2 linked regions of the Arabidopsis thaliana genome follow. The protein of the gene in region 1 interacts with the protein of each later gene in a pairwise test. Each region holds a gene or a part of one and is shown in the gene's direction. Other genes may lie near its edges. The genes, in order: AT2G12646 and BBX30.

The links.
Region 2: the proteins of AT2G12646 (region 1) and BBX30 interact in binary tests that used the Arabidopsis thaliana proteins (3 or more experiments, as listed by UniProt).

What each region holds. Positions count from the first base shown.
Region 1 is NC_003071.7:5,164,328-5,171,961, reverse strand, and holds AT2G12646 (PLATZ transcription factor family protein), read left to right. Parts: upstream 1-2,658; 5' UTR 2,659-2,939; coding exon 2,940-2,942; exon of another isoform or gene 2,943-3,096; coding exon of another isoform or gene 3,097-3,099; intron 3,100-3,174; coding exon 3,175-3,420; intron 3,421-3,501; coding exon 3,502-3,642; intron 3,643-4,402; coding exon 4,403-4,783; 3' UTR 4,784-4,978; downstream 4,979-7,634. UniProt on the Arabidopsis thaliana protein: Probable transcription factor that plays a central role in mediating RGF1 hormone peptide signaling leading to the production of reactive oxygen species (ROS) in roots to modulate meristem size and root growth, probably via oxidative post-translational modification of the transcription factor PLETHORA (e.g.
Region 2 is NC_003075.7:8,705,070-8,711,199, forward strand, and holds BBX30 (B-box type zinc finger family protein), read left to right. Parts: upstream 1-3,771; 5' UTR 3,772-3,811; coding exon 3,812-4,165; 3' UTR 4,166-4,413; downstream 4,414-6,130. Other genes in the region: AT4G15240 (glycosyltransferase (DUF604)), read right to left, coding at 1-309; AT4G15245 (uncharacterized protein), read left to right, coding at 1,445-1,637, 1,699-1,979; BBX9 (B-box type zinc finger protein with CCT domain-containing protein), read right to left, coding at 4,873-4,993, 5,080-5,462, 5,549-6,037. UniProt on the Arabidopsis thaliana protein: Developmental regulator acting by forming heterodimeric complexes, that sequester CO and CO-like (COL) proteins into non-functional complexes. Engages CO and the transcriptional repressor TPL in a tripartite complex.

The sequences.
Region 1 (7,634 bases):
GATCTGCCAATAAATAGGCACATAAACGCAACCGTTGATGAAGCATCACGCCAGATCGTGGATCCGAACGTGGATGAAAACCAGAGAAGTGGTGGAAAAGAAACCACCCACTACGCCGGCGAAAGTGATGGAAACCGTCGTCCAACCGACGAGAAGAAGATGATAAAGTAACCGTCCCAAAATCGCATTTTGTGTCGCCATTTAATAAATTATTTTATCTATAAAACAAGATGTTACAAATGTATTTTTGTTGTTGGTAATAGTTGGGACAGTAATTAATAAGTATGAAATACACCGTGAAATAAATATATATACTTTTTTGTTATAAACTTATGACATTGGTGTATTATTTATTTTTTATGTTTTATTGGTAGAAACTTATGTTTGAATTTGATTACACTCCTGGTAGATTTTTTATAACTAAATCGTATTTAAGATTGTATAATTGTGTTTTGATTGTTAATTTTAAGATTTTATCTGTGATATATTGTCATGTATTAACCTCGATCCAAACCCGTCTTACCATATAATCCCGTCCCTTAAAAATAAACATCATATTCTTATTTTTCTTTTTAATAATACTTTTATTTTAAAAATATATAATTCAATATACACTGCAGGATTAATAATTTCTTCTTTTTAAAAAACCGATTAATTGTTGTATATAATACTTTTTGTTGTTATTTATTATAAAATTATGATTGATTGTGTATGGCTTCTTATTGGTTAGTTTTCAATATTTTTGTCCATTATTATTTTATCTTTTATATGGTTTTCCATATTATTTGGTTTTGTAAAAACATTTTTGCTTTGTTTTTGCATCATTTTATTATAACCCGACCCACAATAAATGAGCAAATGTTTCTTAATCGATTAAATTTTTTTTAATGATTTAATTTTGTTATATTTTAGATTATACATAAAAAATATATTTCATTGATTGAGTAATATATATCTGTTTAAAAACTTTTGAATCACAATATATCCAGAAACAATCTAAAATTTTATTAACAATAAATATTTTATTATAATTCAAAATAATATAAATATAAGATCAAATAAAAGTGAAATGAGAATCATATATTTATGTTTGTAGAGAAGTTTTAGGAAATTAGCTCAAATGTTTTATATTAGCATTAAACATCATATTTGATTTTCTTATCCAAAAATAAAAAGTTAAGATATAGTAAATAAAAAAAAACATATCCATACAAATGAGCAAATATGTACTTTAAAATTGTTAAGTAGATGTTGACGGACATGTTGAGGAATATATTTTTGATATGATGATTCATTTAAAAAAAAGAAATATTTTTAAATTTTTATGGAATTTAAAGTTTATATTTGTATTTATTTAAAATAAAAAATAAGAAAATATAATAAAATCATTATTGTTAATTTTACAGTTAAATGAGTTTATATATTTTTTATTTGGTGGAAGATTCTGATTGGTTAGAGAAAAAGGAGGTGAATAAAAGAATTCACCTCTATAAGTAAACCCAAATATTTTTCAAAAATTATAAAACAAGTTAAAAAAATTTGTATCAAACATATTTTACCCAAAACGGAAACAAAAGTTAAAATTATACAAATCATTGCATGTTTAATTATAATTGGCGGTTGTTTTATGCAGAATTGAAATTTTCAACAAAATTTAGTAGAAGATGTAAGATTTGTAAGATAAACTTTAATGTAAATTGCAAGGTAGTATTCCTTAATTTGATTAAACAGCTAATATATAAACATACATTAATACGGTGACGTATAAAATATAATTATCTGCCATAACAAGAAGTACCATTTTAATTGTTTTTTTTTTTACCGGTACCATTTAGACGTTTATGACATTTAAATAGAACAAGTTGGCGTAAGACAGAAGAATCTTTTTCTTGATGTTTTCTTCTTGGGTATTGTAATTAATAAATTACTACCATTATGATTAACCATATGCTCTGTACATTTCTACTCCTATTAGACTGAAATATTATATAATAAAGCATAAAATAAGTTTTTAGTACTAATACCACGACATCAAGAATTTGACGGTGTATAAGTTTCCACGAATCTAAAAATTGGTTCAACCAAAATATATGAGTTTTTAGTAGATAACATTTCTATCGGTAATTAAAGGGTGTAAGGATTGCATTACGAAAATTTGTCGCGTTCATTTTTATCTTTAGCCCAAGTAGGTTGCATTGCATAGCTTCTACTTGGAACACTACTTATTGTAATGTATTACTAGGCAATAATTTGACTAGTCAATCCATATCCATTGTTTATTTAATCTATTATGTCTAAATTTAAGAATCACTAACCTTATATAAATATCTACAACAAGCCTATGTAACTATTTTCTAACAAAGCATACATTACTATTCTATTCACAATGCTTGGACCGATGATACTTAATAGTTTATACTAGTTTTGTATCTTCCTCAATTGGTTAATGAACACCAATATGAGTCTTAACACATCTATCCTTCTCTCTTGTATTTGGTAGATCATAAGAGGAAGAAATAAGGAATTAAAATTGGTGATGGCTACTAGAGACTCTTCTTCACGGAGGGTTTAACCTAATTAAGCTCTTAAGCCAAGGAGATGACCCAATAAATATATGTTTAAAGTAGGAGACACGGAAACAGCTCCCACGTTCCTCACTTTCTCTCTCTTTTTCTTCCCTCTATCTCTCATCTCACCAACACTAATAAACAACAACCAAGTTTATATGATATTTAAAATGTGTAAAAGAGTTATATCTCCGAGGAATAATCAAATATAAGTTTTTTTTTTCTCTCTTTCTCTCTCCCTTGTGATCCTCCATAAATCCTATCATCAAGTACTCCCCTAAAGAATCCTTTTTCTCTTCCTAATATTACTCTTTGTAGTGAGTAGTGGCCAAAAGTTTCCATCTCCCAAAGCTGACTTTCAGTTGAGTCCTCATGGTAGGTTACTACTTCTTCAATTCTATACCATCTTAAGTAGTGAAATTACCTCAATCATCGTACCGAATTCCTTATATTTGTACCCTTTATCCTCATCTTGGCTCCTTGGTACTTAATTATAGATTTAATGGTGGATGTAGGAAACAGTTGAATTATGGTATGAAGTTTTATTTACTTATTTAAGATTGTTTATGAGATAAATATTTTAGAGATTTTGTAAATCATTTGGTAGGGAATTCAGAAACCGGCATGGTTGGATGCGCTATACGCAGAGAAGTTCTTCGTGGGATGTCCATACCATGAGACGGCGAAGAAGAACGAGAGGAACGTGTGTTGTCTTGATTGTTGCACCAGTCTCTGCCCTCACTGTGTACCCTCTCATAGATTCCATAGACTCCTTCAAGTTCGCCGTTATGTGTATCACGACGTTGTTCGGCTTGAAGATCTTCAGAAACTCATCGACTGCTCTAACGTTCAAGTAAGTAATCTATTATACATATATGTATTATCTCATATCTATATATGTATATAAATGGATTGGGTGTTGAATTGTGGATAGGCTTATACAATAAATAGTGCAAAAGTGGTGTTCATCAAGAAGAGACCACAAAATAGACAATTCAAAGGAGCTGGCAACTATTGCACTTCTTGTGACCGAAGTCTTCAAGAACCTTATATCCATTGCTCCTTGGGTTGTAAGGTTATTTCATCTTAACTATATATTACTTCTACATAATATTTGACTCAATTCTACTTGACTATATGATTCGCACTTAGCATATATATAAAATAATTAAATTATGTGATAGTCTAAACTTTATAGATGATTCGTTTCTATGATAGAAACACATGTTCCCCTTTTAACTCGTCCACAAATAGAAATACGAATACATCAACAGGATACTACAACAAGTATACTACCAAATACCCTGATTTTTGTTTTTCAAACGTAAAACATTTTTTATTTTACTTTTGGTTAAAATATTCACACTTTTTTTTTAGTTATCTAACCTGGCTGTCCTTTAAAATGTTTTCAACCCGTAAAGTTTGTTAGTTTCCGCAGATGAGAATCTCAAGAAAAAAAAAAGGATTTATTAAATAACCCGTATATGGCTCGATTTTGAAATCTTGTCCTTCTGAACTAATGTATTTAACAAAAAAAAAAACATGAAGAAATTCTATAAAGGGGAGGCTAACTTTTTTAATAAATAAGTCTATCATTGACCTTGCCATTGGAACTTGGAACTATGTAAATTTGGTGCATAAATACTGTAAATACTCCCATATCATTTGAGCTAGTGGTTTGGCCCTAAGTGTTTTAAGAAACCACCACACTTTCAAATCTTTTCAATGTTGCACTTTGTAATAAATATATCATGTTCTCAGAATAACATCTAAGCTTTTTGAGCATGTAGTAATCTATGTGATTATATAAAAGGTTTTGGTTTATATACATGTAGGTGGACTTTGTGATGAAACGTTACAGGGACATAACCCCATTCCTCAAGCCATGCCACACTCTAACCCTAGGTCCTGACTACATCATCCCACAAGACTTACTGACAGATGATGAAGTGGCGGCCTACGAGACTCCTCGATCAACTGTGGTAGACGGCGATGAGTCCATGAGCTGGTCCTCAGCTTCCTCGGATAACAACAATGCGGGTGCGGCGGCTGCTTATGCCGCAACCACCACCCATGTCGTGAGGAAAAAAAGGACTGGTTTTTGCCTTTGCGCTAAATCGGCTAATAGTTATAAAGAAGTTTCGGAGGATCCTGACGATATTTCTGCTTGCATCAATCGGCGAAAAGGCGTTCCTCAACGATCTCCTCTCTGTTAACGTACTCTTTTCTTCTTTGTTTTTGTTTTCTAATCTTCTTTATTAGTTTCTTTTCACCATATAGTCTTATATGTTACATGTATGGATTCTTGTCGTGCGGTCTCTCTAATAAAGTTTATAATCAGTTTTTTATTTTATTTTATTTTGCTTACGTAGATATTAGTTTAGCATACCTTATAAATTCATAAGAAAAAAATTATCTTATCGCATAATAATATGTTTCTTCTACTCTGGTATCCTCAATATCCCTAAAAGGCCTCAGCCAAGTATTTCTTTTGTCACTTAATATATATCTAACCTAGGTTGAAGTCAATGTAATTTGTCTTTGACATATGAAATTGTACATTTTCGGCTTTCATAGCTTAGATTATCGTTTCAGATTAAATAATATGGAGAATCTGAAATATGAAATTAGATTTGTTTTGGACAGCTCTGATGGTGACTCACGTGGCTCCTAATTCCGAGCTGTGGGATCTTTCATGTTGTTCTAATATTGTTTTTTCATAAGAGCTAATTTTTTTCTACTCATTTTATATATATAAAATACTAAAACTTGAACCCACGAGATTCTCAAAACAATATTATAAATATATACATATATATTTTAAATTGATATTTATTTTTATATTTGTAATTTATGTTAAATATAATAAATATAACTAATTCTGAAAAAATCAGACAGAATCCTATCAATATTGTGAAATAAATTAAGTATTGATTCGTAACTTTCTTATAAACAAGATGATAATAGAAACACAGAGTCTTAATGGTTTTACGCACTCCATTTTTCGATCCGGGATATATATGGGAGGAGACAAAGGTGAAGCTAAGCGAGCGGTCCCATACGCAGGCACATCAATAATAGATGTGAGAGATATAAACAGAGAGGTAGATATACACTACAAGCTTTCACTGGGCATGAAAATGTCGGTGTGGTTCGGTTTCAAAATGCCTTGGAGGAAAAAAAAACCTATGTTCATATCCCTCTATGTATAACATAGTAGTATTCATGAAAATACATATTGGAGATGTCCATATCTCCCGCTCTCTAAACCAAGAAGTCAAAGTTATAACACAAAGACTGCCTGGAATAAGAGTACTTGAGGATAGGATGGGGGATAAAGTCCAAATTTATCTAGATGTTAGACACAATAAAAGAGATGGATTTAGTTTCTTCATTTTATTTCCATCCAGGACAATCTTTTTCTTTATCGATATAACACAAGAAAAGTCATTGGCAAAATGCCAATCCTGAGGTACATTACCACAAGAAATGCTTAAGTTTACGTATTGTTAAGGTTTCATATACATATACTCTACTACTTTTAAGGCGAGTCGCAAGTACAACGAGGGTGATCTCTCGTGGTCTAGTATTCTGACTTGATTGTATAGTTTGCCTAATTTTGTAAAGAACCAAAGGGTGTGCAAAACAACTGCAACCAACCAAATTAAACCAAAACAGAAGTAAAATGAATTTCTTAATTGTGTGGTTTCACTATTATAAAATCTGAAAACAAACCCACAACCGAACCAAAACTGTTTTTTTTTTATGTGTGTCCAAACAAAAATGTTTTCCTAATTAAAATTCGTACTTTTAAGAAAACAAAAACTTTGCGGTTCAAAAATAAATTTCTCTTTTATTAATCAAAAAAAAAAAACTATATTTAAGCCAAGGTCTCACGTATAAAACCCTCCTAAATAAATAAATGGAAACTTTACAACGGGAAAATATCAAAAAGCGCAAATTTTTAAATTTAGGACGACAAAATGAACTTTCAAAACTATTTAAATCTTAAAGTTTAGTTTAACTTGACCATTTAGGACATGTCGTTAAGTTTCCATCAACCAAACAATCAGAGAGTTAAGTTTTCGTTAGAATTTCTTTTATATCAAAACGATGTCGTTTTGAACACTAGAAAATGAGGAGGAAAAACAGCATTTCAAGGGAATCAAAATGCAGACCTTTTGGACTAATAAAGGACATTAAACCATTGAGCTACGTTAACATTTTGCTATCTTACAGATATAGCGTATATTTTATATAATAAAGTAAGGTTCCTCAAAACTTATGATCTAAAAAACAGACAAATGGTGCTCTATTCATTCAACATGTGTCATTTTCCTTAAACTTAAATATACTATTTTCATATTCATTCAATCTAATAATATTATTGACAATATAATATTTTATTTCTTTTTAACAATAACCATAATCAAGAAAGGTCTACATGTACAACTCAATGAAGCTATTTTGGTTACTTATCTTGAGAAAAAGATAATTAAGAAAAGTCAGCCCTTTTGTAGCCAAATCCAGCAATAATTTACCACATTTTTTCTTTTGCTTTATAGGGGTTAACTCCTCTAGAATCTTTGGATTTCGTGGAGGGTATAGTGAGATCTTGTAGCTTTCATAGATGTAAGGTTGAAGGTCTATCTATTGAAGATTTGAAATGACACTGGCCTGATCTCTTTGGAGATTTCGAAAATCATATGATTGTTAAAACTTCATTGAACATCTTTCTTTCTGAAGGCTCCACTAGAGCATAGAGTGTAGATATACAACTCATCAATTGAATGTCCTATTTTCTCATGATTTTTTTCTAGGGTTGCTGTCTGGAGTGTAATTTAGCTTCATTTTTGCCTTTAGTAGGCGCAATCCACCTCTAAACTTATGATCTAAAAAACTCACAAGTGGTGCTCTGTTCATTCGACATTTGTCATTTCTCTTAAATTTAAATAAACTATTTTCATATTCACACAATATAATAATATTATTGATAATATAATATTTTATTTCACTTTAATAATAATCATAATCATAATTTATTACATATTCATTCTATAAAATGTA
Region 2 (6,130 bases), on another chromosome or scaffold:
GAGACGAACGTACGAGCTACGACGGAGCCAAGAGTCGTGAGAAGCGGCGATCGAGAAGAGTAAGTGACGGCGACGAGTGGAGAACACAGATAACGATCGAGCGATTGATGAAATCTGTTCACGGCGGAAATTGGTGCCGTAGGAGAAGATGATGTAGATGATGAAACAAAAGATGAGTAATAAGAAGATGTTTCTGATGCGAGAAGAAGTTAGCGACGGAGATTTGGCCGGAAAGAGCATTTCCGGCGAAAGAGAATCGAGTCTAGAGAGAGATGAATCAGGTCGTCTCTTACGTCTCGTTTGGTTCATTTTGTTGTTAACTTTCCTCTTTTGAATTCTTCTTCTCTGCAGATTCGACGACGGTTAAAGTTTCGAAAGTAGTAGGCTAGTAGCACAACGAAGCAGTCACTTTCAGTGAATAGACTTGGTCATTCGGGTTTACAGGTCGGGTTTTCGGGTAGTTTCGGTCCGGATCTAGCTTTCGGACCTACTTGATGAGACCGAGGTTAGGTGTTGTGTTGTGTCATGTGTATCATATTTTATGGTTATGGGCTTGACATATGAGTTTTAGTTGGAGGGATTTGGATATTATACTCGGCCCATTAAATTATTTAGCTGATATAAACTCATTTGGGCTCAATATGTCAAGCCCAATAACATACGGATTTGGATACTAAAACTCATTTGTCAACTTAGCTAACTATATTTTTTTTTTTTGCTAAGAATGTAAATATTCATTATCACAATGAAAATTTCGGTTACACAATAAAGGGTAACCAAATCATGGTTCCATGGCAAAAAAAGGATAAAAAGCATGGAAGCATACAACATTCTTGAACCTAATCCTCGATTCTTGTTAAAGAAGTTGATTGGGAACAAGATAAGATGAATCCCTAAAGTGAGCTAGGAGAGGAAACCCAACGAAGACAAATAAGTGAAGCTCACGAAACCCCCAAAACAAGATGGCAGCCCTTTCAACGGGAATCCGAGCACATCAGGGAGCTCCGGAATTGCCGAGCCAAAAGTGTTAGGCAATGCTTACTCACTCTAACGAGTCCCACTTGGAAACGGAAGCTTAGAATCTTGCAACATCTTAACCACAAAGAGCCATACTAACACCACCAATCGCAAAGAGCAAAACAGAGACTTCAACAAAATCTTCGCAAGATTACACATAGACACAAATCTGATGTGGTTGAGCTTAGGTAATAACATAAGTGACAAGAGGAGACAGATAAACTTGAACGCAACAAAGAGGACTCAAGAGAGACATGCCATGGAAATGCACGGAGATGGTATAGGCAGCGACGGGCCGTCCACAAACCCATGGTCAAGCGTAGCCCTCAAATCCATCCTAGACGAAACTCACCAGAACCTACAGAGGCAAAACTAGTCTCGGACTAAAACCAGTCCACAAACAAAGTAACCACCTTTGGCTTGGGAAATGGAAAGAGGAAGCTTGCAAGCAGCTAGAGAAGCCAGCTCTAACAACCAGCCACAACACAAAGCACCAAAAAGAGACCAACTTCCCCGGTGCAAACTAAAAGAGAGGATCAGAATCGCCGGAGCTGAGACCTCAGCACTACAAGCTACACCTAAAACAGCAACACACAAACAGAGCCTCCAAACAAACCGGAGTAATGCGAGGAGACAGGGACACAAACGACTTCCAAAACTAAGCGGGAGTAAAGCGCACAGATCGCAGAATCTCTAGATCCGAAACGCTAACTCGTCAAATCGCCGACGAGAAGGAAGCCAAACCACTGAGTGGAGCCACTGGGGGGCCTCTCCCGGTCACGGCGAAGAGCACCGATGACCGGAGAAACAAAGGCGGCGTAGATCTAGGTTTTGCGAAAGGTAAAGGGTTGAAGGAAAAGTCGTCCGCGAGTGGATGCCACGCACGTCGACTTCTTCTTTTGATGATATTAGCTAACTATATTGGAAGTATAGAACCTATAAAGAATATTTCTCGAATGTAATTTAACAGTTAAGGGTTAATTAGTTAAAATTAGAATTCAAAGAGTGAGAAGTTTCGAATAGTTGCGGTGGTTAGGACGGACAAATCCTTTTACGATTTAAACCGTTTTTTGTTTACCATTCATAAGCTATAATCCGTAGTAGTATGGATTGAGAAAATAGAACAAGTCTGCATCGGACTAACTATGTACTGCTTTTACATATAAAAAAACTTGGTCTGTGGTTGTTTGTTGTCTGCTTCAAAAATAAAGTGATATGTTTCGTTAGCGGTTTAGTTCACTTTTTTCATTGCATTCATTCAAAACCTAAAACATAAACTGTGAAACGCATAAAGTTTTTATTCGTGAAATTTTTTGGTCATTCTGATGATAAATTTGGTCGAATCATCATTAAATATATCATTTAAACGTCATTAAATTAACGATGAATTAACTAAGTGTTTACCAACTAATTATCAACGATAATTTTATCAGTATATCATAAATTTGTTATGTATACGTTACCATTTCGAGTTTAAATGGTGATAATAGTCGAGATGGACATATTCATCAACGGTTTAGTATGTTCTATTTTTACTGCAGACAATAAACTGTCGCGTCGCAGACCAACTCTATTTGTATGTTAAAGCGGTTCGTAGCTAGTTCACAACAAACTTTTTAAGAAAAAAATCTCTGCTTACAATACACAATTTATAAATAGTAAATAAAAATTCAGCTCAGTCTACAAAGAGATTTGACGGCATTAACCGCTGCAACCATTAGGGGATATTCAACTTTGACAGTTTCGGAGGATGTACGTCTCCTAGAAAATAAGAAATTAATTATTTTAATCGTTAAAAGAAATTACTTTAATCATGAACCATGCAAGTGAAGTTCCTTTTTTTTTCCTTTTGCGAGCAAACTCGTAATAAAATATAAAGTTAAAATAGTTAACCACCACACACACAATGACACGAAGACACCCAATAACGTAGAGACTGTCCCGACCCGATATTCAATATATTTCTGAATGCTCACATAGTCACATAATCTTTAATAATTGTAATCAGTGGGACATTGATTCTCTAACCACTTCTTCGGCGATGAATTTTTCTAGACTAAACGAGTAACTAGTTAATAGTAAAATTTAGAGTAATTGGCTGCACTGCACCCATGGCCATCATGAGTCACCTAAATTACATTAAATTGAATGTATCTCTCTTTCTTCATCTTCTTCAACGCTTCATTCCACACTCGTAGATTTTCTTGACTCTTGTATCAATTCAGATTAAGAAAAAGGTACATTTCTTTGGTAGATGTTATGACTGCTCATAAATTTATAAAAACGAACAGAAATAGTTTTAAAAAAAAAAGAAATATTATAATCTAAGTGAAAACATGATTGAAAACAAATGATAGTATGTTACACAATTTCTCGTTCATATATTATCTTTTTAAAACAAACCAAAAACTTGCACAGTAGTTTAATGAATAATCACTAATAAATTCATATACTATTATTATATACTCCCTTTTTATAGACCACAAAAATGCTATGATTCATGATTCATTCTAGAACGTGATTGTGATATGTGACAATGAGCGAGTCATACTAGTCAACTACTCGAAACTTGTGTATCAAACATGAGGACGAGAGATCGTCTGGTGGAGGGAAAATAACTAAATTATTGACAATTTGGTCCTCTAGGGACACTCACATCAAACCAATAGGTCAATATTTTTCCACGTGTACAACCAGTTTAATGACAATTTCATAATATCCATTTGCTTTAAATAACAATCATTCCTATATAAACCTAAATCTTGAACACAAGAGAGACAAAGAAAGAGTAAAGATGTGTAGAGGGTTTGAGAAAGAAGAAGAGAGAAGAAGCGACAATGGAGGATGCCAAAGACTATGCACGGAGAGTCACAAAGCTCCGGTAAGCTGTGAGCTTTGCGGCGAGAACGCCACCGTGTATTGTGAGGCAGACGCAGCTTTCCTTTGTAGGAAATGCGATCGATGGGTCCATTCTGCTAATTTTCTAGCTCGGAGACATCTCCGGCGCGTGATCTGCACGACCTGTCGGAAGCTAACTCGTCGATGTCTTGTCGGTGATAATTTTAATGTTGTTTTACCGGAGATAAGGATGATAGCAAGGATTGAAGAACATAGTAGTGATCACAAAATTCCCTTTGTGTTTCTCTGATTTTATGTTTTGTTTTTCGCGTAATTAAGATTAAATATTGGTAGGGTTTTTTCTCTGGAAATGTTCTAAGAATGTATATTTTCATTCTAAAGCTTAAAAGTAATATATGAACACCTAGAAAACATATTGATTTAATAGTAAAATAATGCGGTCCCAATAGTAAGCTATAAGAAATCAAGAACAAATCTTCCTATGGCAAACATAATCTGCCTTTATTCTTTGGCTTTATTTTTCTTAACTAGGAAAACAATACAACGTTACAAATTACAATCAAGTGAAATGGAAGGTGGAGAGTGGTCCAAAACACAAAGAAGATATATTTTTCTATGATTAACATGTAATTGAGATTAAGGAGCTATAAGTAGGAAAGAGTCAACGACTCTTGTTTTGTTTTTTGGTTTCTGATTTTGTCTGATCGTCTCGTAGCTGTATGCCTAATTAATGCCTGTATGACCGGTAGGTTTTGTGGTTGCATCAAAAAACAGTGGAAATTCTCTAGTAAAAAGAGCAACTTTCAGTTTTTTTTTTTTTTAATCTCCATTTTGGAATCACCTTTGCGATGATTTTAAGTCTTTGTAGTTTGATCTTGTATACTTTCTCAAGAAGAGAATTTTATGTTTTTTTTTTGTTACTTCTCCGACAAGAAACTGTTAATCCCGTGGATGGAGTCAGATTATTCTTTAGTTCCGCAGTGAAGATTCACTAGTTCACATCACCAGTGACGGATCATACTCAAAAGTTTCTCCAGATTTTACAAATCTCCCTTTGACCCGTTTTCTCGTATCAGCTCTGGCTTTGCGTGATGCATATCTTATTTGCTTCCCAAACCTAGAAGAAATTGGTACCACAAATATCAATGAGATTATGTTTTAAAAGCATGATAATGACTCTGATTATGTGTCTCAAAAACTTACATGCGCTTTGATTTCTTTTGTTTGTATCTCTTTTTAGCCTCATCCCTTAATTTTGGATTAAAACTAACTTCAACATTCGATTCCCATGGCGAATCTCCTATGAGAAACCCTGGTGAAATTCCGCAATCTTGGTAATCAGTCGCATTGCTTTCTCCTGTGAGGTTAGACATCGAAAGTGACATGTTCGGTACAACGTTCCCGGATAAAGTAGGAAGCAGTAATGAAGGAAGGCCAATGTTATTCTCTTCCTTAAAAGAATCCTCGTACTCGTAACATTTGGTATTGTCAAGTGATGAACATCCGATTATATCATTGCTTGCGTTGAAATTCAACGGCGCATCATCTAAGTTTATCCCTTCGCATAGATCCAAACCAGAACATTCCTGCATATAGAACGGAATATAAATGAAAAACATTCTTCTTTATCATAAATGAAACATTTTGATATATTACTTAAACAACACGTCACCTCTTCTATCACTTTTGGAAGATTAGATTCCATAGGAAAGAAAGAAGAATAGTCTTTAAGGTTCTGAGTTTGTGTAACCACGGAAGTTGATGAACCATTCCAATCGTCTAATTCCTGGAGCAGGGTATCAGAAAATGGAGAGACCAAACTTGTGACAGAAGGTTCTAAAGTTGAAGACCAGATCTTGCCGAAATCTGATGGAGAAGGACAATCAGAGTAAGGGTTCAGACTCTGAAGTCTGTGTCCTAAACCAGTGCAGTTACTAGCGGTCCACTGACATCCTTGGCAAAGAGAAACATTTTCGTTCATACAGTGTACTGCCGTGGGTTGTAAGGAACATTTCTCGCAGAGTAGAGATCGCGTGTGTCTTTGAGACAGAGGATTCGCTGAGTGTACATTAACGTCACAGTTTAAACAAAGTTTAGCCGAATCAGATTTGCAGTAGATTAATGCTTTTTCGGTTCCACAAAAGTCACATCGAGCCTCCATACTTCTTCGAAGACAAAACTCCAAAGAAATAACGATTTCTCAATCCCAATCGCTACACACACCTAAAATCCTATAGCATAGAAGGATCGTGAG